Linked DNA regions of Caenorhabditis elegans. The protein of the gene in region 2 purifies or fractionates together with the protein of the main gene of each other region. This does not show direct contact. Each region holds a gene or a part of one and is shown on either strand. Other genes may lie near its edges. The genes, in order: upb-1, ctsa-1.1 and dim-1.

Evidence for each region.
Region 1: the proteins of ctsa-1.1 (region 2) and upb-1 fractionate together in Caenorhabditis elegans (co-fractionation; one large-scale study listed by BioGRID). This does not show direct contact.
Region 3: the proteins of ctsa-1.1 (region 2) and dim-1 fractionate together in Caenorhabditis elegans (co-fractionation; one large-scale study listed by BioGRID). This does not show direct contact.

Annotation. Positions count from the first base shown.
Region 1 is NC_003280.10:6,285,511-6,295,960, forward strand, and holds upb-1 (Beta-ureidopropionase), read right to left. Parts: upstream 4,588-10,450; 5' UTR 4,582-4,587; coding exon 4,472-4,581; intron 4,427-4,471; coding exon 4,318-4,426; intron 4,104-4,317; coding exon 3,526-4,103; intron 3,482-3,525; coding exon 3,289-3,481; intron 3,175-3,288; coding exon 3,001-3,174; 3' UTR 2,902-3,000; downstream 1-2,901. Other genes in the region: F13H8.6 (DUF4238 domain-containing protein), read right to left, coding at 3-230, 364-427, 1,178-1,359; nyn-3 (RNase NYN domain-containing protein), read right to left, coding at 5,142-5,468, 5,514-5,728, 5,787-5,905, 6,001-6,111, 6,163-6,224, 6,280-6,351, 6,398-6,458, 6,837-6,948 and 1 more; mps-1 (MiRP K channel accessory Subunit), read right to left, coding at 7,142-7,340, 7,608-7,757, 7,868-7,974, 8,022-8,111, 8,314-8,461, 8,562-8,641.
Region 2 is NC_003280.10:4,731,581-4,742,430, reverse strand, and holds ctsa-1.1 (Serine carboxypeptidase ctsa-1.1), read right to left. Parts: upstream 4,784-10,850; 5' UTR 4,782-4,783; coding exon 4,636-4,781; intron 4,369-4,635; coding exon 3,582-4,368; intron 3,248-3,581; coding exon 3,108-3,247; intron 3,056-3,107; coding exon 2,719-3,055; 3' UTR 2,629-2,718; downstream 1-2,628. Other genes in the region: acs-11 (fatty Acid CoA Synthetase family), read right to left, coding at 29-127, 182-292; eas-1 (putative Golgi transport protein 1), read right to left, coding at 1,220-1,261, 1,309-1,390, 1,543-1,618, 1,667-1,769, 1,815-1,906, 1,954-1,984; F41C3.11 (Nucleotide-diphospho-sugar transferase domain-containing protein), read left to right, coding at 8,507-8,632, 9,088-9,223, 9,272-9,345, 9,406-9,537, 9,733-10,170, 10,806-10,850; F41C3.7 (WD_REPEATS_REGION domain-containing protein), read right to left, coding at 5,747-5,821, 6,197-6,269, 6,315-6,440, 6,491-6,591, 6,636-6,777, 6,828-6,988, 7,037-7,120, 7,169-7,246.
Region 3 is NC_003284.9:8,052,093-8,063,406, forward strand, and holds the start of dim-1 (Disorganized muscle protein 1), read right to left. Parts: upstream 6,129-11,314; 5' UTR 6,121-6,128; coding exon 6,076-6,120; intron 5,793-6,075; coding exon 5,735-5,792; intron 5,688-5,734; coding exon 5,610-5,687; intron 5,539-5,609; coding exon 5,485-5,538; intron 5,438-5,484; coding exon 4,902-5,437; intron 4,275-4,901; coding exon 4,100-4,274; intron 2,617-4,099; exon of another isoform or gene 2,481-2,616; intron 1,408-2,480; exon of another isoform or gene 1,062-1,407; intron 998-1,061; exon of another isoform or gene 814-997; intron 589-813; coding exon 458-588; intron 359-457; coding exon 275-358; intron 1-274. Other genes in the region: C18A11.3 (DUF4309 domain-containing protein), read left to right, coding at 9,039-9,130, 9,178-9,263, 10,761-10,903, 11,312-11,314.

The DNA.
Region 1 (10,450 bases), 1.6 Mb from region 2:
ACAACGACATGACTTATTCCAGCAGATGCCAACTCATCTCTGTCCAATAACTCTCGATTATCCGTAATGTACATGTACTCTGCTATTTTTATGAATCCAGCCAATATCTTTGATTGATCCGTTTCTGGTTTGATATAAGGAACAATTTCTCCTTTTCCATTAATCTCACTCAAAGTTATCGCGTTTAAATCGTTTTCCATTGATTGTTCGAGGGATCTGACTTGGATCAGCTGCAAATTTCTCAACGCATTTTAATAACTTCATAAGCAGTTTTAAAAAAACCGCTGTCATTTTTTTTCTCTTACTGCATTTTTATTTTTTCATAATGTTGTACCAGTTATAGCCAAAGATTAAATTACCTACATTTGAAACGTTCCCGAGGCCTGGAATAGAGACGATTGAATTGTTTGAGCCTGTTGAATTTGTTCTGAAATTATTTTCAATGAGTACTGGCGTTTTTATCATATTTATGGGACGCGTTTAAAAATTTATTCGTCACAATTTTCAACTTTTGAACTTCACATTTATTTTTAAACACTGCCATAATTTATGCAAAAAATTACTGTGCCTCTATATCTATAATTACGGGAAGTAATCATTAGATGAGAGTTTTATTATTAGAAAAACTTAAATTATATATTGGACAATATGAAAAAAAACGAGATACGTAGAATGTTTTAGTAGAAACAAATCGAGTGAAGAATATGTTTCAAAGTGTGTTGGCATGTACATTTTCCCCCGTTGCTAAACACTTTCCATGGGAACTTTTCCTATAAAAAACGCACACAAGAGACTCACAGAAAAAGCATGGAAATTGAAAAAAACTTAAGTTATAATTTTCAAGACTATTCATGCAAATAACTTTTTAGATTGAATTGAAATTTTTAAAACCTATTGAAACAGGGTTTTACATGAAAATGAATGTCGTGTGGTTGAAACACATTTTGAACAAAACTCAAATAACTTTAGAGTGTTGATTAGATGTGCTTTAGTTTTTTGAAAATTAATTAAACAGAAGTCTAACGGTGAAAAATTATTTCTACAACACGACTACAGGCTTTTGAAGTTATATATATTCTTTCTAAACGCTGAGCAATACGTTTGTTTTTGATTATTTAAAGTTTATAAATTTGAAAAAAAAACACCAAACTATCATGAAAAATTTCTTAAAACTTACTGAGAAGAATACATAAGCGGAATAGAACTATCACCGTCAATAGGAATCGGTCCATAGCTGTTGGTTGTAGCAGAACGGGCAAAATGAGATCGACGACGAAGTGTTGATTGATTGATAACAGCAGCAGCAGAATTGAGCATCTTGCCAAAACGAAATCTTGCACGACGAGATATGCTGTCCATTATTTGAATTTAAGCAAGTTATAAATATGAAGAAAAAGAATTTAAGAAAGGGAGCTCTGTGCAGAGCATATATAAAGTAAGGCAAACTGGTAATTTGAATGAGAATTCGAGAAAAAAGAAGAATAATGCACAAAAAGTAGGAAGGAGGAGCCAAGTTGCCTCGAGCCACCAGAGATATCAAAAATGTGTTTAAGAACTTCTTAATTGTAAAGATATGAGTTTAAGAACTTCTTAATTGTAAAGATATGAATATGAATGATTTGTGAAACAACTGAAAACATCAAACAATACAAGTTGTAGTAATCAGATGGAAATTTACACTGGGGATCTGCCACAGCACCATGAAAATAGTAGTGTCTGATACTATACAAAACGGAAAAAACAAAAAAAAATTGGGTTCAATGAAACCATAATTCTAGACACCTCGATTGAATACAAAATGAATACAATAAAGTCGGAAATAAAAAGTAGCCTAATCTACAACTGTAAATTGAAAGATTTGAAATCGCTAAAAGAAAAATGAATTTCTGAATTATGGAATTATGGAAAAAAAATCTGTTGAACAAAACAAAAGTACTAAATATTCTTCATTTCCATAATAGTTAAATTTAGTTTATGAGTGAGTTAGTCACACAACATTTCAAAATCCAAATTTTTATTTCATTTTAACTGTTGCTCATTGTGAACAAATATGTCTACTTCCTTAGATTTGACAGGGCGACCTTAAAAAAGGGACGATCCGTTCTATAGACTGCGGATCTGGGAGTCAGGTACATTGCCTGGTGGTACCTCACTGGGCTATAATTCAAGTCATGCTCTAGCCTGGGACTGTAACCGGTAATCCAGTCGTGGATTACTCCACTTCCCAATAAAGACAGAGTGAACATAGATGTTTTTAAACACTAAAATCTTACGAACATCTTCATTATAAAAAATCGTATTTTTAATTGGTCAAGCCGTTCCGCTTGCTGAGTTTCTCTCAATTTTCATGAAAAACAGTCATCTTATAATAATTGATATTTTACTTAAAAATTGTAGATAAACGCATTTTTCTTGGATGAACGGCAATCAGAGTAGTCTGGTATGGGACAAAAATTAACAATACCGCATACAAAATCTCAAAATACAAAACAAAACCTTTAAAGTAGTATCTAATAGTTATTCAAAAGTAGTACGAAAATTCCAAAATAATTTTGGTTTACTGCGAACTAGGAAAAATTCTCAAGAAGAAGGGAAAATAACATGAGATGGGCGGTTATCAGAAACTAGTGATTATAATATTGGTGCCTAGTTTCTCTATATGTTGCCTCAGTAACGACAGCAAAAATATTATCACTAGAATAAATATCTTATCAAATATCTAAAGAAAACTTCTTTTAAAAAGCAAAAGAGCTGAAGTATATATCACCTAACTAGTAAGTAAGTTTATAAAGCTTCAGTCTTCCACATGATTGCTTCTTTTAAAGTTTATCAAGTACAACAAGTTGAGTCATCTCCCTCTTCTGATCTACTACTATTCACCTCATTAGTTCAAATCATGAGCTAAATTGAATTACATTTATTTACGATTCAAATAATAATCAGGTGATAGAAAACAAAGAAAAATCATCCATAAATTGAAATGTCAACAACAAAACTGATTCATTGCTCTCTTCTGATGTCTGGACGATAGTCCGGGTTGGAAACTTCCGTAATCTTTTGAGCGTACATGTCGAGACGGTTTGTCATTCTGAATCCCCAAGCATCCTTGCATTGACGACACAGATTTAAGTCGAGTTCAGCAATGAGAACTCCCTCACGAACACGAGATAATGCCTGAAAAAAATATGTATCAGATTTGTTCAAGCTATTTTTTTTTAAAAGAGAGAAACAGTTATAAAAATTTTTGAGCAGTTACTCATTGTTGAAGTTTAACCTCAATAAACTCACTGGAGTACGGCTACCATCAGGAGCAGCAATATAACTGGATCCATAAAAGTGACCGAAGTCTTTGTGCGCTGGTTGCCCATTTCCACTGGTAAATTCATTTGGGAAGACTTCAGTGCCCACGCGGTTAATTCCAACTGTGAAGACGTGATTGGCAATGGCAGCATTTCGTGCTTCGATACCCCAGAGTGGTTCACTAAATTTCCATGTTTTTAATGTTTCAATATTGAATCAACAAACCTGAGAGCACCAACTGTTGCTGATGGATTGAAGATGATCTCTGCACCGTTAAGAGCGTACATCATCCAATTTTGTGGATGATGGCGTCCGTAACAAATATTGATTCCGATACGACCGTATTTGGTTTCAAAAACTGGATGACCAAGTGTGGACTCCATATAGTATGTAGATTCATTAAAATCTCCAACTCTTGGAATATGATTCTTTCTAGATCTTCCGATAACCCGTCCAGTATGAGAAATCACAACAGCTGTATTCCAAATAACATCATCCTTTTCTTCGTCTCTTTCCAAAATTGGAGAAATAATCACAATATCATGTTTCACGGCCAATTTAGAAAGGAATTGTGTAGTTGGTCCAGTGTATACAGATTCTGCGAATTCTGTCCATGGAAGACGTTCACGAGTACAGAATGCAAATGGCATTGTCCAAGCTTCTTGAAGTCCAATAACATTAGCTCCAGCGGAAGCAGCAGCTTCAATCATTGCTCCGACACGTTGATGAATTGCATCACGTTGTTCAACGACACTGTCTGTAGTTGGACGGTGGATTTTGTTTTGAATAGCGGCAACGCGAACCTTAAAAAATGGTAATATTTTCAAATATATATAACAAACTGGGACTCTCTTTTTCTCTTTTTCCACCTAATATTTGCAGTGCTCAAAGATTAAGAATGAAAAGCTAAATACGAGAAACAGACAGAACATCTCCCATAACAATATTCTTCCTTTCTACAAAATTGGTTATCAGAAAAGTTATTTAAAACAATTTAATTTTATAATTTCTGCTCACCAGTCTTGGAGCTCTTGTTTGTTCTTTTTGAGCGTCCACAATGTATCCAGACAGTTGGAAATCACCATCTTGTGCTAGTTTTTCCGCAATAGAAGAAATTTCCAGTGCTCTGAAAATAAAGTATTTGCGAATTTTCATTATATTTTAAACAAACCTGTATGGTCTACCATAAAGAATTCTTTCGACTTCATCTAAAGAAACTCCGTCCAATTTTTCAGCCAAAGCAGTTTCAACGCCATCGAATTGAGCCGGAGCTGCAGACATTTTTACCTGAATAAGATAAAATAAATATATAAAGATATGATGTTTCTAGTGAAAATGGACAAATTGCGATAAGACAAGATAAGAAAATGAATTCACATTAAAATTGAATGAACACTATTTATTGGGCAGTATTTGACCTTAAATTTATCGGAACTTGAATGCCATTTAAAGAGAAAGTGGTGTTATCAATTGGAAAATAGAATTTAATCAAGGAAAAAGAGAAACTTTTTTTCGGCGAACACCAAATTTTTTTTCAACTTCTTATCAAGACCGAAATGATAAGATGTATCAGACCAGCAAATTTGATTCTTCTGCGAATCTTCGAGAAAACAAGAAAGAGCAAAAAAGCAAAAGTATCTGATGTTAAAGAGATCCTAACTGAATAGTTTAAAGTCTCCTGTCCTCTCAGAACGACAGCTGTCTCAACACGTGCACCCGTCAGGTCATTCAAAGATATCAATCGAGAGATAGAAAAAAGAAAACATGCAAAAAATCGAAACGTTTATCGAATTGTTTGTAAAAATGAAACAGATCTCAATCAAAAATCAATATTTCGATTATTATTTCTTGATTTTATTTGCTTCTTCAGCCAGTGTGAACCATTGAAGCAACGACCCAAGGGAATGATCTCTTGGAAGTTCGATTTTTCCTTTATTAACATTCACGACAGATTGACTAGACTTTTCCGGGAGAGGCAATGGAGTTGGAACAAGAACATCATCACTTAGTTCATTGCTATTTGTTTGTTTCTCAGAAACTTCTACAACAGGCTCCATAACCCATTCTTGAAGTAAATCACATCTTCCTTCTCGTTTCGGATATTTTCTGTAGAATGCATCCGCAAATTTCTTCGGAGCAACATCTTCCACTCTTAATCCATGAAAACACTGAAATATTTCCTTATTTTTTGGCAATTGGACAAGTACACATACATTATCAATACATGGCAATTCTGCAACATCTCGAAACATTTTCCCGGCTGCATAACTCATTGAAATGAGAATAGCTTCAAGTTCAGCACACAAGTAAGCTCTCCTCTCATCAGTCACTTGTCGTTTCGAATTTTTCACAAGATTATAGTCCGGTTCATGAGGCAACGCAAATAGTCGTTGACGCAAAGATTCGGTTCGTTGACTAGTGTTTTCATCTGAAAATAACAAGATTCTAGATGATGTTCGATTATAAAAATAGAAATAATTTCTTACATGTGAATAGTTCGGGAGCATGTCGATAAAACCGATCTGATTGATATTCGACGAAATCGAGTGTTAGCGGTCGGAATTTTACATCGACTGTTCGGTTTCTGATGACGTGGTGGAAGTCACTAAAACCAGTGTAATATTAAATTTGAATTTAATGCATAGCTTTAAAAAAGCCGAAAAAGTCCTAGTCTAGTTTACAATATGATAGGAATGTTACCTGTAACACGGTTGATTGAGAATATCTTTGAACTTGTCTCCACTGACAATTGTACCTCCATGTCTGGCTGCATACGAAACCACATACAAATCATCATAATTGATAAACGCCCTGAAAAACACGTGACTTGCCCACATTGACTTCATTCCGACTCTGACTCACTTTCGTAGTCCCCGACCACTTCTAGCCGGCGTGAATGTCACAATACCAAGTTGCTCCAATTTCTGAGAAAATCAAAAATCAGAATCCAAAAAGCCTAGAGAACAAAGATTATCTTACTGCAAGTAGTTCCGCATTTTTCGAGTTATAATTATTAACATTGTTGTAAACAACAGGCAGGAAAACAGTCACCTGAAATTTGTAATTGGGAAATTAAAGAAAACTAAAAAATTATTACGTCAAATCTACGAATAAGAAGCCATCGGACAACGGAGACGAGGCCAGCACAATCCACGTGACTGAAAAAAATACAGAAATTTGTGCGTATTATTTTTTGTAATTCATTAAAAGAACAGAGCCACGACTTAATTTCCCACGTGTCCACGGAATCTCTACCATCTACCAGACATCTACCAAGGGCATGCTTTTATTCATTTCTGGCACAATTTGCATAAATATTTGCCAATTTCTGAACCAAACTGCTGTTTTTAGATCAAACTTATGACATAAGTTGGCGTCAAAAACCAAGGTGGGGCATTAAGATTGCTTGCTCAAAAGAGCTTGCTCAAAATCATCGAAATTTTAATGAGTGGACTGAAAACAAGCAATTTTCAACAATATCAGAAGTTTGTAATGATTGGAAGCATTGAATTGAGAAAATATTCTGGACAACCCACGTTCTAGCATATCCAGAGGCACTTCTTCCAATGTTGCATCCATCAATGACAAGCGGTCTCGATATTGCCTCTTGAGTCGGTGGTTTGAAATAAGCATTTTCTTTATCGGTTTCTAAAATACTTCATTTCTCTTTTTTTCAATTTTAACCAGAAAAAAAGAATTACTGTTAGTCATCATCCAATGTACATAAGCAGTGTAAATATACGACAAGTTGATTGAAAATCGAATCGATTTGACGATCACAGGACAAAATAATGAAGATGGTGAAGATAAATAAGTAATGCATATAAAAATGAGAACAAAATTACACGTCTAAGCTAAATGATTTATCGTCACAATCAACACGAGGAGTTCTCGATGACGTGGAGGCGTTTGTGTCAAGCGAATATGTTCGAGGATTTGATTTTATTGAATTCATATTTGGTTCAATCAATGAATTCATTGATGAAGATGACGAAGATGACATGGGAATTGCTGTTGAAGAGGAAATTGATGGCTTACGGCTGAAATATATTATTCTTTGAGGTTTCGTTTGAATTTGCTGAAATATGTTTTGTTATTGTATGAAATGTTTCATTTTTAAGTTTCATCTATTAGAACGCCGGTGTGGTCAAATTCAATACGATTGTGTTGTTATTTTGCATTTATAAATAAGACTTTCGACATTTTTCATAAACGTTTCACCGCTAGAATATTATAAAAACCACCAAAAAGCCATTTTTTAGTAGTGTCTCATATTTGGCTACTAATCTGTTTTCATCTTTTCTCACCTATCGGGCTCTATTAAATCCGGTGACGCAATTCCAAAATCGTAAATCATTGAGATTGCAGGAGTATGTGGACGATTTGGAAAATCAGAATGTATGCAGTCGTCAGCACTTACTACAATCTCCGGAATGTCTGATGTGACTGTTGATATGCTGTAATTATAATTATTCATTAAAGGTTATATAAAAGCAAATAGAAAACCATTTCTGTTAATTCTTTAGTTTCCCTGATTATAACTTCTCTAAAAAATTCTGCTAATTACCTGTAATGTCCTCTTGGTCTTGTTCCATTTGGAAGTGGCTTCCATTCGCTATCTTTTCGCTTTTCTGGTCCTTTCTCTTTGTTTTTGTTCACGAGCCATGCAGTCACCTACAACTTTGAATTAATTTTTTTTCGATGTATTTTCATAAATATACCTGGGTTTTTGCTCTCATCAATCGTCTTCTTTTACGTTCCTGTATTTCTAATTCTTCTCGAATTCGCATAGCATCAAGGAGCGAATCCATCTGAAATATAGAGAACTTCATGTAGCTTAATACTGAAGTTATTAGCATTTTTTCAAAATTTCTACATTTATTAAAATTTTGTAACAAAACTTCTGATTTGACCGGGTTTTTGTTTTCAAACAACATACAAAAACCTACGGTCCTCTCTAATTTCATACAATTTCATACAGTTCGATTGTCTACTGTGAAATTCCAAACGTACCTCAACTGTTGATTGTGTTCTCCGAATTGATCGTACCATTAGGAGAATAATGACAAATGAGAACATTATTAAAATTGATATTGTATAAAGTATTCGACCGAACTCATTTTCGTACTCTCTCATTCGGATTGCAGCCTTGTCAAGTACTCTGAAAATTGCCACTTTTCATTAAGAGATTTTCATACCAAAGTTTGACTTTTTGTTTGTCTTTTTTCCCCGATTAATTGTCACAAAATATCAAAACTCACTGGGGATCACAAGCATTTTTCAAAGTGATGCATGCTTCTCGAATGCCTTCTTGGCACGTGGGACTGATATTTTTGTGCATGGAAAGATTAGAGTACTGTCAGTCAGAGTTAATAACGCCAAAAACTAATCAATTAAAACGATCAGACAGAAAGTGAAACAAATGATTAGGTCAAATGAACTTTCAGAAATATGATGAGTTGTAGTAGGTGTCACACACTAATCGATGAGAAGAAGACGACGTGGTGCACAAACGAGCCCTGGCGCCACTGCTCTCGAAGACTGCTTTCCTCCCTTGATTTTCATGCATTTCCATAGCAGCACATATTTGTGTGCGCAGATTCTGGAAGAGACGCAGACATACTCACATGTTTTTTATTATCATCGGAGAGGACATTGAATGGAAGTATAGAGTATGGAGAAAGAAGGGATTAAAGTGTTTGTGTTTGATGTATACCAAAATAAAAACTGTCGCCATCGGAAATTGCCAAAAGTTGGCTTTTACTGAGAGACTCATTTACTAATGTACTTTTCACTAGTGTGTGACAAAGTCAAAATTTGAACCGAGATCCACTTCAAGAGCCACTTAAAGAGTTCAAGACCAGTTCAAACCAGTAATGACTTTATTCACACTTTCCTGATTTGGAGAATAACGAAAAAACATCAAACTCGAAACCATTACCTACACTGTTCTACTATTTGTTCTTACATATATTCATATGTAATCACCCATCAAGTCATAGCTCTTTTTAGTGAAATGATACACCAAAAAACTATCAACTGAATAAATATTTGTATTTATATGATGTTCATTTGGTTGACTCTGCTCTACCAGAAATTATCAAAGTTTCGAAAAGAAGGGAAACTAATCAACTGATTCAGATAACTACTGGGTGGTCCATAATTATGGCGACCACTTTACGGAACTGTAACTTTTTCTTGGACAGCGATCAAAACAAGTTAATATATACATTTTATTGAATAGAAAAAATCGAACATAATGACATATAAAACTTAACATTTACCTACAGCCGCACAGACCTCAAGAAACTCAAAAACCCAGTCGACCGTGGCGCGCAAGTAGGCTCAATTTAGCTTAATTGAGATTTTTAAATGAGATTTATCCAATGATTTATTTTCATTATTATATAATAAAAGTATCCTTGTTTCTAAAAAACATTTCATGAAAATTTTTTTGTGATTGGTTACCGGTGACGGAAGTGACATTTGGTGAAAATTTATAAAGTCAAAAAAGTAAGCTCCCCCAAATTTTGTGATTTTTCTTCCTTGCCAGCCAACGATCCTTTATGCTTAAGTTGACAATGTATCCATTTTAAATTTTTAAAACTTAAAATGGCAATTTGGTTTTCAATATCTTGATATATTCCACAGAATTCACTGTAACCCAATTGGAAGCGAAAAAAAGTGATCTCAACCGCGGTGTTTGTGTAGTTTTTGGACATTTTTTTCGGATCTTTCTATAGCCCCCATCATGCCACACAAAATGCGTGTGTGGCATGATGGGGGTTATAGAAAGAAGGCAGAAAGCCTATCAGGCAGTTGACAGGCACGCGAATGTGCGAAAAATTGAAAGGAAGGAAAGCGAATTAAGCAGTTGGTAAAGCATGAATTTGCTATGTTTCTAGTTCTGAAATATACGTTTCTTTGATAATGTTTCGTATCGGGCGCTCGTTGCTCTAGAGTCACTATCTAACTGTTCAAAGTTGATGTTTAACACTTCAAATTCAAACTAGACCAATGCCCGATTTAAAATGAATACAATGTTTCAGGTTAACGTGTTGAATCCCTGTTGGATAGATGGAAAATTATTGAGAAACTGTTTGGGTCATCGCTTCTTACACTCACACTCTCAACAACTGTTATGAACGAC
Region 2 (10,850 bases):
ATTTATACAATTTTAAAGATAAAATGACCTTTATATTGTACTTTTCAGTCAGAGCAGTTGCATATTGCCCAGTTCGTTTAACAAATTCTCCATAAGTCGTTTTGCGATCGCCATCGATAAAGAGGAGCTGGAAAATTATAAAATTATGGAAAAAACGTTCAGAAGGATATTGAATAGCAACCTTCGAAGGATCGGATTGAAGCTGAGCTTGACTGACAATATTGTTGGCTGCAGAAGAAGCGGCACGGAGCCCAATTTGTGGATGGACGGAGCTGACTAGACGACTGAGCATTTCTGAAATATCTAATTTTCTGTAATAGAAACAATGCTTTAAAATGAAAAATTCAAGAAAATTAGGCAACTTCTATTTAAAATTCAACTTTGGAAGTTTTTTTTCAAAGTTTTCGCATTCTAATTGCACAAAATATGCACAATACCGTAAATTTTCAATTTTTTATTTCAAAATGATGTTCAAAAATGCTTGATTTGGTTTTTAACCTTATTTCATCAATTTCTGCATTTTTTTTCTTTTAAAAATAATTTTTTCTACGAGTAAGAACTTTTTCAGTTTTTATCGGACTTTTCAGGTAGATTCTAAGTTTAAAACAAGGTTTTTGTTTCAAATCTGCAGTGCTTGAAAACAGGAAGCTGTAGAAAACTGAATTAAAATCGTGAATTGATCGGGTTGACCGTTTCTTATAACGAGATGTTGTTGGCCCTGCGTCTCGTATTCTCGATTTGTCATTCTTAAAAATGGCAACAAAGATAAGAGGTTGAAGGGAGAAGAAACCTTCGTCGAAATGAGTTCTTTGGTGGTGAAAACGTGATTTGTTTGATCTGAAGAACAAGCATAGAACATCATTTTTTTTGATCGAAATGAGTCATGTAATGGATATCGAGTCAGAACACAAGAAAAGGAAAAAAGGGAATCTAATAAATAATTATAATCACATTTTTCACCTAGGAACAGAAGAAAATGAAAGCGTATTATACAACAAAGGCTGAGGGATATTTTAGAAATGAGATAAAATTTAAAATTTTTAATAATAAATAAATTAAAATTGAATAATATTACACAGAAAATGTGCATTTTGGCCGAAATCGTAGTTGAACCGAACGTGATATGAGAGGAGAAGGGACAACACAGGAGAAAATATTTTCAACAAAAAAGAAAATAGAACCCATTTTTGGTGAGATTTTTGGGAAGATCCTGAACTTTTCAGACGGGGTACTTGGATTCTGGAGCAAGGCGATCGAGGACCTAAAACTTGAAATAATTGATAAAAATCCTGATTCGTTAGAACTGACCTGTCGGATTCCAGGAAGATATGTGATTGTTGAGATTCCGGGGATACTTCTGAGCAAATTGACAATTCCAGGCAGGAAACCACTGTAAATTCATTATTATTAGATTAAATTTAATTTCGTGAGCGATTAGTTCAAAATGTTTGTTACAAATCGAAGAAAAAGAGCAGAAAATTCAAGATATTGATTCTATTGCAAATATTTAGAAAACTCAACATTTTTTAGTCAAAAACTCACCCGAAAAGGACAATAAATCCCCAACACTCGGCAATCATTCCGAACAATGGGTACCCAAATAGAACTACCAAAATCCCTGAAAATAAATTTTTAAATTAAAATAATGAATTCCTTGTGATCGAACCTCCGAAGAAGAGAATGCTTCCTTTCAGTTTTCGGAATTCGAAGAAGAAAACAAGTGTTCGCTGCACGCCGATAATAAATGTGATTCCAACAATGAATAGAAGCTGAAAATAATAATTTTATGCTTTAAATTTACAATAAATACTTACATTTCCGATAGCTAAAAGAGCAGAATCAAGGAACATCAGCACTCCGAGAAATATGAAAAAGAAGCCGAACGTCGTTAACCCCACTCCGATTTCTGAAATGTTTCACAGTTTACATATATTTTCTGATTTTCAAACTTACGTTTTGTTGTGCTTACTTCGAAATTCATCATTTTGACTGGACCCAAGTGGTTTCTCTTTTAAACGGCTGAAAAAAATTAAATTCTCAAAAGAATCGGTCATAGAAAAACAAATAGAAGAAGATTATTGATTTTTTGAAATAAATTTGCGTTTCTTTTTAGCAAATGAAACTGATTTTATCTCGAATTGAAAAATTTAAGCGAAAAATCGGAAAATAAAACTGGAAATTCCGCGGAAATGACGTGTACGTAAAATTGCGGACCACGTGGCCGCCGTGCATTTCCGCGTGGCCTAGAAACTCGCACATGGCCGAAGTAGCGAAAATCGGCGGGAAAAAGGAAAATTTAAATTTGAATGGTAAACTTTTGAATTCGTAGTATTTTCGCTCAATTAATACGATTTTTATTGAGAAATTGGACAAAAAGTAACTATGTTGGTTGGAAGTGCCACAAAAGGCATTTTTGAGATTTCAAATCGATATTTTTTCGAACAAACAAGACTTTCCAATTATTTATTGACTATTTCCAAAGGTACAACGTATTAATAAGTAGAACATCAGTTTTATTAATCGAAATTACTTGAAATTTTAATCCAAACGTCATATGAGTAAACCGATTACAGTTATTTGGAAGCTTTCTGAAAAATATTTCAGTGTATTCGAAAATCACAAAATTTAAAAATCAAATTTCATTATTCAAAACTTGGAAAATTGACCAATAGATTGAAAAATAAATAAGAAGATAAAAATATTATTTGTTCTCCAAATTTAAAGTGGATGATTATTCAGGAACTGTTGAACGGCGTAGTACATTTGTGGAGCTCTCCATTGTGGAGCCATATGTCCAGCTCCGCGAATAGTGATGAAACTGAGCCCATCGAAAAGTGTCTTGAATCCGGCGATTTGTCTATCATACTTCCATGGAGTCTTTTTAAGTGTTCTACGAAGTCCAAGTTGATCAGAGAATTGCTGTCCCATCATAAAGTTGCAGGCCATATCAGTATCTCCATAGTACAAAAGAACTCTGACGTGGTTCTTGACGATCTTCTTGATGAATGGAGTCATATCGGTGTACTGCTTCTGGTAGGTAGTAGTCACCTTGTCACTGAAAATTTTTGTTTTGATCTCTGGGCTTGGGCTCTTTGGCTCAGGCTCACCTGCAGATATCCCATTTTCCAAGATTGAATGGAATGTGGATTGCCTTACGAACCTTTGGATTGTTCATATAGGAGAGCATCTCAGTATCGTTGAGGCATGGAACATCAGCCTTAAGTGGCTTTTGGGATTGAGATTTGTTCTGAAAGATACAAATATGAAGTGACTGCTATGGTGGTAATTATTGATCAAATTAAAAAAGTTTTAAATATGCAATTTGACCAAAAAAAATTCTATAACCTTTTTCCTATTTTAATTTTTTTTACTTGGATGGCAAAAAAATTGTTTGAATATAATCCTTGCAGGGTTTCGTTCACAAAACAATTTTCAAAGTTTTCAAAAAAAAAAACTGCTGATAATGATCTCATGACCGTGACACCTACCGTGACACTAGGTGAAAACTGAGTACTGAAAAATTTTCTGAAAAGTTTTCCAATGATATTTTTACATTTTCCCATTGCTGCTACCCCACATACTTTCAAAAATTGATAAAGGGAAGTCTTTGTTTGATTTTTCAAGAGCTCATCAAAATGGGCCATTGCTGGAGCAACTCCTCTCAACATGTGCTTCATTCTCTTGCTGTTCACTGATGGATTTGGATCACAATCTCTGTACAAATCATATGGATTCAATCCTCCGAACCACAAGAATTGGAAGATGTCCTCAACGAGAGTTGCACAGTGTCCGGTGACTTGAGTCAAATCACATGAATCAATGCATCCTCTGCAGCAATCTCTCTCAAGAGTATTCCAGATCTTCTCATCAATAAGTCCGTGTCCATAAGCAAATCTGACAGAGGTATCAATGTTAAGCTTCTCATTAACATATCCATTTCCAAGTGCCATTCCTTTCAAGTTAATTGGGAAGTCCTTTTGTCCATCAACAATTCTTGCGGTAAGAGTTGGAACATAAACTCCTCCATAAGACTCTCCCATAATGAATGTCTGATGATGACGGAATTGTGGGAATTCAGTGAAGAATTGTTTGACAGCTTCGTAGTTCTCAAGAGAAGTCAAATCATCGTTGGTTGTGATGTTTCCATCAGTGGCATACGAGTAACCAACTCCAGCTGGAGACTCAATATAGACAACTGAAGCCATTTTGTTCCATGAGTACTCGTTTTCACGAAGAGTCTTTCCATCTTCATTGGCAACATATGGTCCCATTTCATTGAGAAGTCCGTCCAAGGAAGAGCATCCTGGTCCTCCGTTGAACCAGAAGATCAGTGGGTCGTTGGATGGCTCGTTTTGGGATTCGACGAACCTGGAATAATGATTTAGGATGATTTATTAGACAAGCCGGTATGAAGGCAAGCTCGCATTCAAAAGATTTTCGTTGTGTAAGTTGTAAGATTTTCGTGTAAGATTTGTTGTGTAAGATTTTCGTTGTGTAAGCTTCTGAACCTATTTCACACCTTGAACACTGTTTCAAACAACCTTTCGATCGACGAAAAATTGAAAAGGTACAAGACTTTTTTTACTTTCATGCTAGTTTGCACTTTTTAGGCTAACTTCTGTCCTTCATACTCACCAATAATGAAGCACATGGTTATCCGAAACTTGGAAGAATCCGGAATAATGCTTGAAATTCGGCTCAAAGTCCAATCCTGGCAAATCCTTGATCTCTTCTCCACAGGTCACCCCGACGAAGAAGGCGAGAAGCAGAAGGGTTTTCATACCTGAAATTCAATGAATTAGAGGTTGAGCATGGAACATGACAAGAAAGAAAAACAGATATCTTGTGATGTTTGTCTGAGACATTGGAGAGAAGGAGGCGGAGTCTCGACTGTCCCATAGGGGCGGAGCCAGAAGAAGGCAAAGGACAATTTGAGGACAATGTGGATCTGTGAAGATTGGGGAGATGGTTGTGCACAAGATTTGAATTTGAAAAAAAAAAGATTTGATTTTGATAAGATAGAGATCAAACGACTAGTGCCATCGTGTACTCTATAAATTTCTGTGAGGCAGGGGAGAACCAGCTTCAGGAAATTTAAATTGTCTATTTTTTGTAGTCGTAGAGTACTAAATGTGGGCAAGTTTAAAGGTCTTTCTTAGCTTTCCTATTGGAAGCAGGTACTAGTTAGTTAGAGTCCGCTTTAAGGCAGGTAGGCAACAGGTGGAGTACGGAAATCTGACACATTTTTAGACTTGAAATGGCTCAAAACTATCGAATGTCGTAATGAGACCTTATGAAAAATTCTCAAAAAACGTTATTGCTCTGGCCTCTGAAATTTCTATTTTTGCCAACTTGCCAAAGTCAGAACAAGAAACGAAATATTTCCAGATTTTCCGATTTTTTATTAACGAAACTCTTTCAAAAAATTTTGCGGCGCAGTCAATTTTGGTTGTCTCATTTTTACCTGTTCAATAGAACATTTCTTCCAGAAACTTTTTTATCTTTTCTGATTTAAATTCTTTATTTCTCTCACGCCATGCTGAAGGAGCCAATATTACAACACGCAACGCGATCAACATTCAATAAATCAATTTATATCAAAAAGATTGTGGAGAAGAAAACGAGACAATCATTTTTGCAAAGAAATGAAGATAAGAGAAAATATTTGTGAGCAACGGCGGGTTTTTAAGCAGGCGAGTGATGGATTGGGGTCAATTGAATGAGGATCGGTAGAGGCTGGCACCGATCACTGTTGGCCACTGGTCGAGTCAATGCCAAACACCACAAAGTGAACTTCCGAGTTGGTGAGAATCACAAACTTCTGAAAAAAGAAAACATTTTAGGTGATCGCCAGGTGGCCAGAAACCATGAAAAAAAACGTTTAGAGTTGTGGATCCTGATTTCGTTTTAAAAAAATTGGGGCGTCAGTTCAAAGGCACAGGCTGTTTTCTGAGTGACTCTCGTCATGGATTGAATTTCCCTTATTTGTTCAATTGATATAGAAAGAGATTAATTGGCCAATTTTTTGTAAGACAAAACAAACGTTAAATGAAAGATAAATGTTTTTAGAATCTGGGACCGTGTTTGGCAGATTTTAAAAACCAATTTTTATATTCAAAATCTGATCTTCCATTTAACGTGTGTTTTGTATACCCAGAAATCATGTTATATGCTTATTATTTTCTTTGTTTCATACCTGAGAATATGTTAAAAGTAGTTTTGTGCAATGGTTCAGGTATGTTGTGAATAGTTGATCTCGATATTTTCTTCTAAAAAATTTTAGTACCGTGTAAACAAAGACTGCAACTGCATACCCATTAGGTTTCAATTTCCAAACTGAAACTACGCCGGCAGAAGTTAAGGAGTACAAATTCTCCTCGTCGCAAGCCACGTCTACTGTATATTCAGACGATCCAAAGCAAAGTTGATGAGATGGATTTCTGAAAAAAAACTGTTTCTTTAAAAATTGAAGCTCAATTAAATTGCATACTTTGGTTTATCTTTTTCCCAGACAAAACAAGTTTGAGAAAACTTATCAAAAATCATGAGCCGATCTTCTCCAAATTTTCCAATATCTCCAGTTGTGATAGTCTGAAAATATAATTGCTAATTTCCGCTAGAATTGCCAAAATGACTTTTTCTGTCTCATAGTTCTCGTAATCCAGTGGAGAATCTGATGTGAAGCTAGAGATAAACTTGTTCGATAGCACATAAATTCGATTTTCAATTACGAAGCTAGAAGAGATTGGATTCAGTAGTGGAGAGCACTCGAAAATTCTGAATATACATTTTTACAATATATCTCTGTTTCCCTATTAAAAACCAACTTTTCCTGATTCTCCAAAATAGTAACTTTTCCGGATCCATTCATATAACACGGACTTCCATTTAAAACAAGTAATGAGACGACATCTGCCACGTCATCATAGGTTATCATTTTCTCCAAATCATCAATTTCCATCATCAATATTTTCGATGAGGAGTAGAGCTGGAAAATGTGTACTGATAATCTTTAGAAGTATAGATACTTGCACACCATCACAAAATTATGGCTCGAATATAGGCGAACTTTTTGATGCGCAAGAAAATAATCATTTTCGATATTATGTAAGATACTTTTCTGAAATAAAGTTAATTTGATAAATTTGATAAATTTTTTGTAACTTACGAGGAGATTTTTCAAAGATCTCAGTTCAACAAAGTATCGGTTTTCTTGAGGTAAGAAAAGTAGAAGAACGAAGATATTCTGGAAATTTGGGGTGTTTTGGAAAATTTTGCTAATAAAAAGTTATTGTGAATACACTATGAGGATGTCCATTTATATTTAAAAAATCAAATCTTAAAGTTAGAGTCTGTAATGAATCTGCAAAATGCGTCAGTGTTGCATGTTCTCCCGATATTTTTTATTCGAACTTGGTGATAAAATATGGTAAAATATTTGCTTTATTTGAAAATAATTTTAATTTTATTCAAAGCAATTGAAAAATTTCTCACTTCTCAGAGACGTTTGTGAGAGAATCCACGGAATAAGGAAGACGCATGGAATTCTACAACACTTTCCAATTTTTCATTCAATAAATCAGATACAATTTCCTTATACAGAATCCTTAACCTATACATCCTTTTTCACATGGATCCGATTTCACGGGTGTGCTAAATTATTGTTACAAGAGAATCAGAGAAAAAGAAGCAATGATTGAAAAGTGAATGGAACACACATAGTCTGCGTCTAGCCTTCTTCGTATTCTGATTCTGAATCTCGACGGGAATTCCGACGGGAAACGAAACTTAGAAAGAGAGAATTACACTGCGCATCTCTCGTTTTCTATACACATTCTCTACAATTCCCTTCAACGGTTGACCATGTTCGGATAGTAGGCATTGAATATTTTTAGTTAGGAAGAAGGACAGACCTAACACTTATATATCAAAGTTTTTATATAGTCAATTTTTGCCTTAAATGTGGGTTTTAGTTTTAGATAGGCTCTTTTAGTACCCGTAATTTATCTATCAGACTTGCACCCTTGCTCTACTTTGAGAGCCTACATCTCGATTCTGTTTAGGTTTATCAAAAAATTGTCAACTGACAAAATACGTGTAAAATATTTTTCTACATTTAAACAGATTTGCATATTAGATGTAGAACAACTAAGTTGCCGAAACAAATGTTTGCTTCCTGAGGCATTATGCCCACATCGAGAGTTAACTGTATTTCCTCTGTTTCATCAGAATATTTGCCTGAAAGTAATAAGCTTTACTAGTAGAGGAAATATTAAATAACCTAACAATAAATTTAATCGACACTAGTCTAAGAATGATACGGTTTGTGAAAATCTTTCTTTTCTTTTAATGTGTCAAAATTATTTGCTTTCGCCCTCCTGTCTCCCCCTGCGGTCACTATTTTTTCTTATTCTCCCATTCCACTTTTCTCTATTTTTCCATATCTTTTTATTGTTTCTTCCATTCAATTTTAATTTTTACAGACTCCCGAACTTCACAAAATGCAATGGGTCGTCTGAAATTGGCGTTTCGAAATGTTCTCGTTCCATTATTTTTTGTCTATTTTTTCCTACACATTGGCATCACAACTTGGAAACTTTTTCAAGTGGATAGTACGAGGATTGGGTATGAGGTGAGCAATGGTTTTTGGGATTTTTTTAAAGTTTAGAAGTAAATGTGTTAGAAATTTTATTTAAAGTTTAAAAGTGATAAAAAATACAGACTAAATATACCAAATATATGTACATAGATGCTAAAAAGTTTGTAAATTTTTTTTCAGAATTTTTTAATTGATTTTTTTAAATTATAAAAATTCAAATAGCCGAATTATTTTCGATTTTCCCACGAATGAATGATCTAGTTTTTTGGTTTTTTAAAACGTTTTCTTTTTGATTTTCAGGCGCTTTTCCGTAAAGAAAAATGGTCATTCGGTCCTTGCGAGTTTTTTAAAGTTGAAAAAAAAAAATATTATAAAAATTTTGAAAAATTGTATAAAATTGTTTTACAATCATATTGGGCAAACTGTCATTTTGAGACAATTTAAATTTCACAATATTTTTCCTCAACTTTATAAGTTTCAATTTCCAGAACCTAAGAGATGGACCACTTCTCTCAAAGTCAGGGATGCACGTAAGAAAAGGAAATGTGATCGAAGCAATAGGTTATGGAAAATTGTCAGCAATCGGATTTGGTGGAGGTGGACCACTCAGAAATAAGAAGAAAAGTTTGCTAGTATTGGCATTTTTCAAAATTAAAATAAAATAAATTCCAGAACCAAAGCAGGTTCATCCAGTTCTTCGGCGAAAGGACGTGGGAGTTCCAGTGATTTCAGAGAATGTAAAAGAGGTTGGTTAATGGAAAATCCTTAAACTAATTTTGCTATTTTTCATTTAAAAAATTTTTCAGACTCTTGTCTCGGAAGGAAATAGTATTCTCAACAAGACATCTGAAAATTCCAACTTTATATATTTTGCAATGATAAACAATGCCTACGAGAGAATGACACTTAATTGGATTTGTAACACGGCTTTGATGGATGTGAGTATTAGACTGAATTTCAAATTGGAGATGGCTGGAAAGCTTATTCAAAATTTTCTGACCCAAAATTCGGTTAATACTGGATTCCCGGTTAATACAAAATTTGGTTAATACTGTTGGGATTTTAGGTCCCTTGAATAATTTGACATTTTTATGAGCCTGTTTAAATCTTTCTGAAATTAAAAAAAACTTCAGAATGTTCACAATCGGACCCTTATTGTCAGTATGGACTCATCAACGTGTGCTGCTATAAAATCGCAATGGGACGAAACTATAAAATGCGTATCTTTAAACATTGATACTTACAAAACTGGTTACGAGTGGGGAAAACAAGAATATATCAATATTCTGACTCTCCGTGCTAATTTGATGGATCTTTTGGCAACGAATAATATTCCATTTGTTCTTATTGAAGCCGATGCGACGTGGTTCAAAGATCCACTGGAATTATTTGCAAACCGAACGAATACAGAAGAAGATTTTGATATAATAGTTCCAGTGAAAGGTTATGACGGAGGAAGTTGGGATACGATGGCTTTTGATCCAATGTTGGTTGGAAGTACGAATGGATCAAAAATGTTTATAAAGGAGATGAAGGAAAGATTGAATGCCGATCAGAAGTTGTATGATCAGGTGAGAATATCATTTTTTTTTGAAATTCAAGCAAACTTTGATGTATGTAGTCTCTAGAAATTGAACTTTCAAAATAATCAATTTTGCGGGACTTCCACGATGGGTAGGCATGTCTCCAGGCGTCTGTGCCTCTTTTTTTACAGCAAATTATCAACTGCTGATGTTTTAGCTAAGAGTTACAAATTTCACTATTTATTTTTCTGAATAAAATTGCAAGTTTCAATACATAAATATTTTAATAAAATATGCCCATGTGTGCTTCGGCAATAGCCCCGAGGCAAGCGTAGGCCGCCATAAAGGCAGTCAAAAACTTTTGTAATCATATGAGAATTTTTGAAACTGTAATGGCTCCTTGTTTAACGCTATGAATAATCTATTTTAAAAAACAAACAAAAAATTTTATAACGAAAATATTTTTTAGACACTGGAACTTAAAAGCGCGTGGTCTTTTCCAAAAAGGTCTTGCCACGAAAAAAAAGGAAAAATGGAGGTGACAGAATTAAAAAAAAGCCTTCCAGAAGATTTATTTCAATTTTTGTTTTCAAAAGGCGAAACCGGGCATTCTTAACACTTTTTTAAAGATTTTTAATTCAAATTTAAACGTACTTAAATAATTTATATATTTTTATTTGCAGGACGTAATGAATCAGTTATGTGCATCACAACACAACGGCCTAGTC
Region 3 (11,314 bases), on a different chromosome or scaffold from region 2:
TTTGGCTAGATTCAAAATCCCTCGTTAACATAATCATTCTTATTTTAATGGTAGCACCCCTTTGCCAGTTAAAGATGATCTGTCACATAGGCATTGCAATAGAACGAGAGTGTATGTGTGTATGTGTGTAACGGAATCAACGACGACGACACTTTACACAGTGTGGGATGCAAGATTTGAGCAGATGGCATTTTGGATGAGGGGTTAGGATGTCCCCCGCGAAGTTCGTCGTTTCGGAACTAAGACAAAGAGAGATGCAAAAAATGGGGCTTACCTTGATTGTGAGGATGGCTGAGTAGCTGTCGCTTCCCTTGTTGGCAAGGTTGGCACTGAAGCGTCCAGAGTTTTCGACCTCCTTCTGTAAAAATGAATCAAATTGGATAATGTTGAGTCAGTGAGCAAACAAATGTTTCATAAGCAAAATATCTTAATATTGTAGGATGCTAGCGTCACTCACGTTATCGTAATACCACTTCACTTGTGGGGTTGGGTTGGCATCAACGAAACATTCGAGCTCCAATGAGCCATCGTCGTTTTGGCGAGCCACTGGTTGTTGTGGGAAGTGTGGGGCCTTTCCGTCTGGCATGGCTGAAAATGGGAAAACTGTATTGTGATCGACTGAGCACAAAGAAAAACAAAAATCGAAAAAGCAAAGAGAGAAAGGAATGGCGAACATTTCTTCCAGTGTTTCATTTTATTGTTTTCGTTCCGTCTAGTTTTTGTTATAAGCATTGTAACACAGTAACACAAGAAGTCTTAGAAAGAGGAATTGTAAAAACACACGAGCACATAAATATATGTCTTAAAATAGACACAGAGTTCCCCTGCGTAAAAAAAGTTGGACTGGTCAAGGCCAAGAACAAAATGTTAAGTGATAGGAGATGGACAAGGATGCCAAGTGGGTATGCGGTGAGAGTCGGAGAGGGCAGGCACATCCACGGGAGCATCCCAAGTCTCTGTACTAGCGGGACTCCGCCGCCGTTGCCGAGGCTGCATTGCCAACTCTAATCACAGTGTGACAAGAGGCGCGCTTCGGAGCGTTACACAAAAATCGGCGCCCTCCCTCCCGCTTCTCTCTTCCTACCGTGCTGTGTACTAGAGGCGAGAGGATAAAGGAGAGAAAGAAGGTCTCGGAGCAGGAGCGCGCCCCCGCGGGAGTCCAGAGCAAGTAGATATGACGGCTCAGATTGATGGACCAGAGAAAACAGAGAGACAGAGTCGAACCTATCACTATCAATGATTATCAACATGCCTTGGCTCTGTGTCTTTCTCGAAAGTTTCGGCAGGACCACTGTTGCTTCTGCTGCCTGATCACCTATCGATCCGTAAAGTTTACTGCGTGGGAGGACAGCTAGCCAGCCGACCACTGATAGTGAAAGAACACAAATATCTCACAGAAAAAGGTCCCACAGAAGAAAGAATAAAAAGTAACTAGTTAGTTCGGGGTACATTGGATAGATGTTAATAGATTTGATAAGAGATTTATGAATTTGGCAAGCTTCTCAAATACCACCCAATAAGAATATACATATACATAAACCATAACAGCTAAAAACGACAGAAAACCTATTGCACAAAACTAATTTCCCAATAAATCATCTAAAAATGTAAAACACACACATCATGATCGGGGAACATATGTTCATCCCGTGAAACTGAAACTCATGCAATCTCAACGACTTGCATGGCTGATCCAACGCATCTCGTGGAACCTATCAGAAATCTATGACTATGACGGAATGAAGAAACGTGCGATTTTGATTTTTCAAACAAAAAATGAGCGCGGGTTTAGTAGGGGAGGCAGATATGATAGAGCCGCAGTGCATTGAAAATCGAAATCGGCACTTATCTCAACAGTATCTTTTTTTAATAGCTCAAGTTGACAAACAAAGGCTCGCACCCCCATAGAGTAGGTGGATAGTGGAAGAAAAGGAACTCTCGCTTTCTCATTGACAAATAAAATTTCAGTTACCTGGCGCCACGATTCATTCAATATCATTCTCGAATCCGATCTAAACTCAATGTGATCATATCACAAAAAATACTCCTAGAGGAAAGGAAAAGCTGCAGAAGTATGTGTATACTTGAGACAGCCTTTTGTATTTTTGAGTGGTTGTGTGATTTTTTTTGAATGAACATTGATGATATCATAAAAAGCGGGATATGAAAAAAGAAAATTGAGCAAATAGCTTAAAGAATTTTGTTTGGCAAATGAAATGTACATGATGAAGTTAAATAGTTTTAGTTATTGGTAGAATTCTTACCAGGTTGATTTATATCTTTCTTACAACTACGCCGATTTGTTCTCAAAATAATCGGCAGAGACAAACAATTTCGCAAAAACACTTCAAAATTAAAAAAAAAAAGTTCCGAGAAATAGATAAAATCGTTGAGTACATGTCCTACATAGATCAATATGCAGACGACAAATAGTGTATGATCTCATCATTATCGGCTTCACACGTCCCCCCGAAGTTCTCCTTAGTTTCCATTTCCCACCCACGTTTCATCAATTTCGCCTTCGTGTTAGACGAGCAGATAAACGTAATACGAATCGCGTTGGCATATGTCGCGAAGATATTTGCTCATTTAACCGACCGAGCGGGACCTCCTCATACGCTTTGGAAAAAGAAATTTCCCTGCTAACACACACGCTAAGACCCCACAACTGTTCGAGTTGACTGTTCGGGCTTCTGCGGCTTTTACGAATGGTCCCTATCATCATCATTTGCTTGCGGAGGAGTTGGTGGCCAAGTGGAACTAGAGATAAATGAGATTTATAGCCTAGATGGAAGGTTAGAAGACTACTTTCTTAATTTTTTACGCGAGAAATGAAACGTATATATTTGATTCTACCAGTTCTCACATTTTAATTGACATTCATTTTTTAAAAATAAATTTAAACTCTACAAAATAGCATGAGACAAGAACAGTAGAGTAGCAAAAAAAACACTTTTTCTAGCGACGCTAATTGTACAACAAAAAAATTGACTGAAACCGAACACAATGTAACTGTTCAATTTTCCTTTTTCACTCTAGAGAACAGTGCAAAAAACTGGTGGTGAGCGAAAGAGTACACAAGAATGTGAAGCACAGTCCCAGAAATTTTGAAGCAGCCATCAGCACAGTCTCATTGTGTGCAATATGAAAAAGTAAACGGAAGGAAAAAAGAGTAAAAAGGACAAGATGAACAGTGCAAGTAACAAATTGTTGTGCGAGATCTCTGCGTAATGAGTTCATAGCATAAAAGAAAAGTGGTCTGGTCAAAGCGAACGAGTGCAAAGAAAACAAATAGTTACGACAAGAATACATAGAACCCCCAAACATTCATTGCAGAGATGTTCGGCAATGTCAAAATTCGGAAATGTTAAAATTGCCAACCTCTCAAGGTTTAATTATTTAATTTCAAAATATACGACTAGGCTTGTAAATTTTTGAAAATATTCAGAAAGTGTCAAAATCGTAGCTCAGTTTGGATGGAAAAAATTATTCGTTTAAGATTTGAGTTTTTGATTCGAAAAAATAGAATGCTATACCACTCAATTTATTATATATTATTTGACCTATCTATTTGTCTTATTTTCAATGAAAACTTTCTTCTATTAAAATCATACTAGAAAATATACAATTTGAGCATTCACTGGAAAATAAAGAAAAAAACCCTAAGAAAGTGATTGTATGTATAATAGTAACTTCCGAAGAATGATGCATTGATGCATAAAAACGACGGGACATTTTTATCGTGTTTCCCCCCAAAAAAAATTGTATGAAAGCAAATCCTGCGTCGTCAGTCGGCGTCACTTCAATAAATATATACGTACAAGCAGAAACCTCCCTCCCGACCAATATTGTTGACTATTCTTCACAACTTGTTGCTTTTTGCCCTCCTCTTTTCCCTATTTCTTTTCTATCAAGTACTATATTTCTATGTTTGTCGGGAAAAGAGCGCACGGTAATCTCTTGCTCATTTGTTTGTTTCTAAGATCATGGAGGCGCTGTGGTTGACACAGTGTGCAGACCATTCGATTTAATTTCCAATACTGTTTTTGTTTATTTCTTCGCTTATTGATAACTGACACAAGAACAAATAAGTACTCACCATCAAAATAGTAATCATCAAGGTCTTCACTCTCTGTCGATGTTCCAACTCTGCACTTAAATGTTTTCTCAATTTGAGTACATGTAAATTGTGAATGGACTATGTACTGTTTGCAGCGGAATTGATGTTGATTGAGATCTAAACGGGGCATTTTTGACGATCGTGGATCCTTACTCTGAAAATTACAAGCCATTATTTTTTGGGAAATTAATATTTTGGAATAGTTTTGAACACTTTTGTACGTTTTCATGTTTTCATTTTTTGCAGTTTTTGCTGTGTAAAACTTTGATATGAAACATGATCTGTTTAAGAGAAACTGTTGAGAAAATACAAGATTATACATTTTAGCTTTAAAAATTTCATGCAAAGCTGTGTAAAACACGGTGAAAAAATTTGAAAAAAAAACTGGCTGATGGGTGTTAATTCAAATAGAAATTGCCTACTTTTTTGCCAATTTATGTTTCAGTGACGATTTGAATGTTTTATTGGTTTTTAAATATGAAATGTTCTCTATAAGGAAAGTTACTAATAATTTTCCAACAATAAGAACTCTTTCAAAAATTATCTTGAAAACATATAACAACTGAAGTTTTATTTTTATTTTTTTGTTAAATCGTTATGTTTAGTAAAAACTTTACATTTTATTTTATTTTACAGTTTATTGGTTCTTCTTGGTTTTAGTTGGAAATATTATGTTTGAAATTCATAGAAAGTCGGTCATGTTTTACTTTTTCACTAACTTTTATTAATTTTTATGTCACTAAACTAACTGTTAGTTAAATTTGTAAGTTTTAAAACTCACTGGTAACAGAAGTGGCCTTTTTAACAGTTTGAGAGCCTCGGTTGCATTTGTCGTGTTGGAGGTTGACACGTCGATATTATAAGGTAATTCACTCTCTGTGGCTTTTTTACTAACATGCTGTTGCTTAGCACCTGTCCTCCCTATGAAAATTCTCTTCCTATGGTTACTCGTTGCATGCGTTGATTGCGGGGTCTTCTGATTAAAATCCGATGCGATATGAGACCTCTCATGCCTCTCTTCATCATCTGACTGCTCTCCAAATTTTTCTACCTCTTTTGTTGAAACTTTCGGTAGTTTTGTGTCAGTCCTGTCACTTAATTCTTTAGAAATATAAACTGAATTGTCATCAGGTTTCATTTTCACTGGTATTATCGTCACTTCTTTGCTCGTACTGGGCGGTAACTTTCTCAAATATTGCTGCACACTTTTGTTTGAACCATTTTTCGCAGTTAATTTTTTCTGCATTTCTTGGCGTGTTTTCATCAGTCTTAAAAAATATTCAGAATGCTTCGGTTTTTCCGTCATTCCTTTTTGTTCTGAAAAAATGAATAATAGAAACATTTTTTAACGTAATCGAACATACGATTTTGTGAAATGAATGTTGTTGGTTTACTTCTTGTACAAAGGTTTTGATTATCTGAAAAGTTAATTTTATCATATTTGAATTTTGTCTTTAAAAAAATACAAATCGTATCCATTAACACCTACTATATGATCTGGGTAAGCTGTAAATTGATGTTATCTCTCCAGGCAATGGGGTTGAAGTTCTTGGGTATTCATTTAGATCTGAAGTTGAAAAATTATAAGATAATTGACAAAAACACTTTACTTACCTTTGCTAGTGCATTTAAAATGATTATTGATTTCCAGATCGTCGAAACTTTCATCAGCCTGAGTATATATAATATTTAGCGTTTTATTCTTTTTTTTTAAAATTAATTAGAGTTATTGCTTCCTTATAAGCCAGAAATTTCTGAATCGGGAATGTACGCAATATGTCGTGGGGGTGTTTGCACAAGGATACTACTCAATAAGTGGTAACACTGCACATCTCACTGTGATTATCGGTTCTTATTAAAAGTGTAAAGACTTGTGTTAAGTGAAAACACCAAGTTATTAGAATAGCAAATATTGCATCGAAACGTTGAAATTTTACAAAAGTTTTGACACTTACCAAGATGGAGTCGGAAATTTTAAAGAATGGTGCTAACGATGCCATTCTTATGGAGTTAAACTGAAAAAATTAAGATTTGTGTTGTTAATTATAGAAAAAAGGACGAGAATTGAAATAAAGGATGAGTGAGGAAAAAAAAGCTTGATGGACGGAAAGTAAACAAAAACTGATACACAAAAAGTTAAATAAACAAAAAGTGAATGAAAAGTTTAGTAAGTAAGTAAGTATTGTAGGTAAACGGGAACAGATGACTTTGTGGTTTTCAGACAAAACAAAACTTTTAAGGCGAGTTTTTTTAACCATTGAAATAATGAAACAATAATTTGATTTGGCTTTTTGAAATCTACCTAATTGTTGTCAATAATTAAAGTCAAGTTTAACTGACTTGCAATTTTGTTTTGGTTTGAACAATTGGCATAGTTTTAGAATGTATATTGTTAAGTGAGAACTTTCATTGAAAAACCATTTTCTCATCTCTGTAATCAAAACCAACTAATTTCATAAAAGTCATAAATTGAAGGTTATCATAATTATGAATTGATCAATTTTTGAAGCACCTTCGTGATAAAACTGACCACAAAAAAACTAAATGATATCGGCGTGTACACATGTGGTGTTAGGCCTAAAATCCGATATTTTCTTTCTTTTCGATAACTATGAGATCATTGTCGGCGGTAACGGGAAGGGTGACTAGGGGTCTTTTGCAACCTGGAATTGTGGGTGACCGGCATCGAGGATGACCGACATCGTGGGCGACCGTCGCCGTGTAAAAAAAAACGCACAAAAATGTGTTTGATGAATTGGGATTAAACATAAACTGATAAACAAATAAGCTATAACATTCGAACTACTTGGAGTATTTGAATTCGCAAATGGGAACACTACTTCTGTGCATTAAAGTAAAGTTTTCAGATAAATCAAACATTATCAACAACTGAAAACATTTTCGATTTAAAACTTTTAATGCTACTTAGCTATTAACCAAAATTTGAAAAAAATTTAACTTACTTGCCGGTCCTTGTAATTTGAAAATTAGATAGTGATGTTGAAAAATGTTCAACAGCTTTTATTTTGAAATGAAATAAAAATACTAATTCTAATAAAACAAGACATTAAAAGTTTTCAAAAAAATTTAAAGGATTGGAATCGGTCGTAATAAAATCGGTTGCATTCAAATTACAATGAGAAAACAACTTTTAGAATATATCGACAAGTACAGTTGGGTAGCCAGCATGCAAAACATCCAATACTTTCATTTTTCGATAACTATGAGATTACCGTCGACGGTAACGGGAAGGGTGACTAGGGATCCTTTGCTACCTGGCATCTTTGGTGACCGGCATCGTGGGTGACCATCGCCGGGTAAGAAAAACCTTAGAAAAGGTGCTTAAAGGTTGGATGGTAAACGTAAACTAACAAACAAGTATGCCGGGACATTAAACTAAAAACTATATTATTTGAACATAAGTTCGCCGATTTTTCAGGATATTAATAAAAAATCACATACCGGAAAAAAATTCAATCAGAATTTCTAAATGAGATTTAATTATCACCAATCACTCAAGAACCGATATTGAAACATGAGTATACTTTGTAAAAAATTTTGTTGCTCCCAATTGAGAATTAAAAAACAACAATATCGACAAATACAGTTGTGCTAGCAACAATACCTAAAAATCCAATACTTTCATTTTTTCGATAACTATTAGATCACCATCGGCGGTAACGGGAAGGGTGACCAGAGGTCTTTTGCGACCCAGCATCGTGGGTGACCGTCGCCGTGCAAGCTAGAGATGCGTTGCGGAGAAGAGAATTAGACAACGCCAGAGTTCAACACTACGAGACGAAACGACATCACTATTCAATTCTAAACTGTACGTACTAGCCACCTGCCTGGAGAACCCGTTGAAAATCGACTTGATCGATATTTGGTGAAAGGGTGAAAAGTAGGAGACACGAGAGGGGGAAAGATGTCAATGAGGACAGGGGAAACGTATTTTCGAGAAAGTTGACCTTATCGACCTTGAGCACAGATGGCTCGTAATAACAAACTGAGTGCAGCCGAAGACATAATCGGAAAAAGCAGCCGATAAAAGTTATAAATACATTCATCCAGAAACACCAACTGATTTTAATAGTGGAGTAGCGCCATAGGGTAAATTGCTTAAAAAAACATTTTTATGGTGCAAAAATGATTAAATATCATAGTAACACTTATTTGAAAGTTTTGAATAGTTTTTTGTTGACAATCAAATGTTGCAATTACTGCATTTTTGCAGCTTATTGAAAACAAAATTATAGCACTGCAGAATGCTCAAATCACTGTAATGTTTGAATATGAGTATTTTAAACATAATTAGACTATTAAATTTGTAGGAATTGTTTAACTATGTTTTATTATGACTATGTTAATTGCTTCCCCTATTCCAGATATTATCATATAGTGTTCCTTTGAAATTAATATAAAATAATTATTTCAGACAACCCTGCATACATAGAATGTTATTTGGTATTGTCAATTTTTGGTTTTCTTCAAACATGTTCTTCCAGAACTACTTTTACGGTGAAATTACAACTTGTTCATTTTTCCAGAGACTCTTCATGTGGAAACATTAGTAACCTTTTTTAATGTTGATGTGCACAAACATTTTTTATCAATTTTTGCCATAATAATGCGGAACTTTGTTTAATAACATCAACAAACACAAATGATACGGATTGTTCCTGTTGTATTAAAAAATTTTATACCAGCTCTCTCTTGAATCTTGAAATTTATGACTTTCATTCCAAAAGTTACACATTGCATACGAAACCGCCACTGATAAATCTTTAACATTTATTACCCTCCACGTATCGTGTGGAGCAATTATTGCCATTTTCAGTGTGATAAAACCTTTCCTTTTTCCGGTTTACACAAAATATGAATTTAAATTATATAGTTTAGTTATTATTTTTGTTTGCAGATGAGCAAAAGCGGCTCACTACCAAGATTTGCGGACGAGTTCGAAGACGATGACGATATCGAGTTAGTAGAAGGCGCAGATTTTGGCAAGAAGTAAGTTGTTTAAAAAATTGTTTGAAAATTGTAGATTTTTATTTTAGCCTTCGAAGTTTCGGTATTCGTCTTGCTATTTCTTTGGTTTTAATTGGATGTGTAGCTGGAGCTGTGATTTGGTCTTTTGTACAGGGTTAGTTAGTGGCTTTCACTGGTATCTCCAGTCAGTAAATTTAGAAAAAAGTATTTTGAAAGATTATTGCTACTTGGAATAACACTGCTTAAAAAAGCGCCAGTGGGAAAATTGTTAAAAACAACTCCTATGGTCAAAAAGTTACCGAATATCATTATAAAACTTTTCAAAACTGTTTTGAAACTTTTTTATTTACGGTCAAAAAGTGACAATTGTTTTTGCCACTCATAATTTTGGAAGTCGATCAAAAAAACTTTTTTTCTACATTTTTTATACTATGCTTAATTATTGTTTATTCGAAACTGGATAAATTTTAACCAAATGTAATACAGTTCGCGCGCTTGCTGTAGGACCCCCTAAATTTTTGAAGTATTGAAAAACTTCGAATTTTTCGTGAAAATCTATTATGATATTTGGAATCAGGGTATCAAAAAATCTATAGTCCCATGTTTTCATGAATTTATCATTAAAATTGAAAGCGCCTGGCTAATATTTGAAAAATAAGGCCGCGCGTTTGCTATAGGACCCACGGAGATTTTTGAAAATTTTCATCAAAATTCTCGATTTTTTGAGTTTGTAAAAAAAATCATTTCTAAAACTACGTTTAATTACACTTTTAATGAAAAATAGTTCCGATTTATAACTTTTCGGAAAAATTCAAATTTTGATTTTTACTATTTTTCTCATTTTCAGACGTTTAAGCCCGAGAAGAAGCTCATGAGAAACTTTTGTGTTTCAACTTTTATCACCTGCCTTATTTTTACTTATTTTCCTTATTAATTTGCCTTATTTCGCGGAAACTTATTTTTCAAATTTTGGCCAGGCGCTTTCAATTTTAATGATAAATTCATGAAAACATGGGACTGTAGGTTTTTTGACACCCTGATTCCAAATATCATAATAGATTTTCACGAAAAATTCGAAGTTTTTCAATACTTAAAAAATTTAGAGGGTTCCTATAGCAAGCGCACGCACTGTATTACATTTCGTTAAAATTTATCCAGTTTCGAATAAACAATAATTAAGCATAGTATAAAAAATGTAGCAAGCGCGCGCACTGTACATAAAAAAAAGCATCGGGGAGAATCGAATAACACATAAAGTATGAAAGACCCGTCAGAATCCATCTTAAGTGAAGTGATATATATTTGACAGAAGAGGATAAATAATATAGAAATTTGAATGAACGAGATTTGTTGGTTTATGAGGTTGTAGGAGTCGGAACAGTTTGACAAAACTTTGACCGGAAATCATGAAAAATCTAAAATGTTTTAAAGTGTTTTGGTATGATATTCGTTTGTTTTGGATCATTATAAGGGTGTTTAAACAAAATCCCCACTGTCGCTACTCTAATTAAAAAACCCCTTTATTACTGTAAAAACACATTATTCCGGTCAGAAACGATGTCAAAAATAATTTCCCAATTGCGGGCCTTATGAAGTGAAAACAAATTTGTATAGATTATCGATCTGTAAAAAAAACTTATTTTTGTTTAAGGGGAAACTGGAACAGGTACTCCTGATATTCATCATCGCGATGCATCCAAAAATTTTTCCATTTTCATCGACCAGTATTCCCAGAAAGAAGGGCTCTATATCACGACATACCGACTTCCGGAAGGATCGAGCGATGAAGAACCAGTGAGTAGATTACAAGATGCTTTTTCAGTAAATGTTTTGTGAAGAAAGTTTGATCAGAATGTTTTCGCAAACTATTTCATCGGGCATTTTCAATACACTTGGCGATGTTTTTTAAAAAATCATACTACTAATCTAACTTACCTCACAAAATATAAAGTTTAATTTGAATTTTTCTGTTCACTATAAAAATCTAGAAACATTTGCATGCTTTACAGAAACTATCAGCAAAGTGTTTTTTAATTCTTGAAAACCTTGTATTCAATATTTCTATTAGTCCTAAAATAGATTCAAAGCTTTGCTGGAAACAGTAAACATCAAGTCCATTTTAACGTTTTATTTCTAAAAGTATGGTAACCATCCAACATTGCAATGTTTACTCCAATAAATACACTTCTAGACATTTTCTAGAAA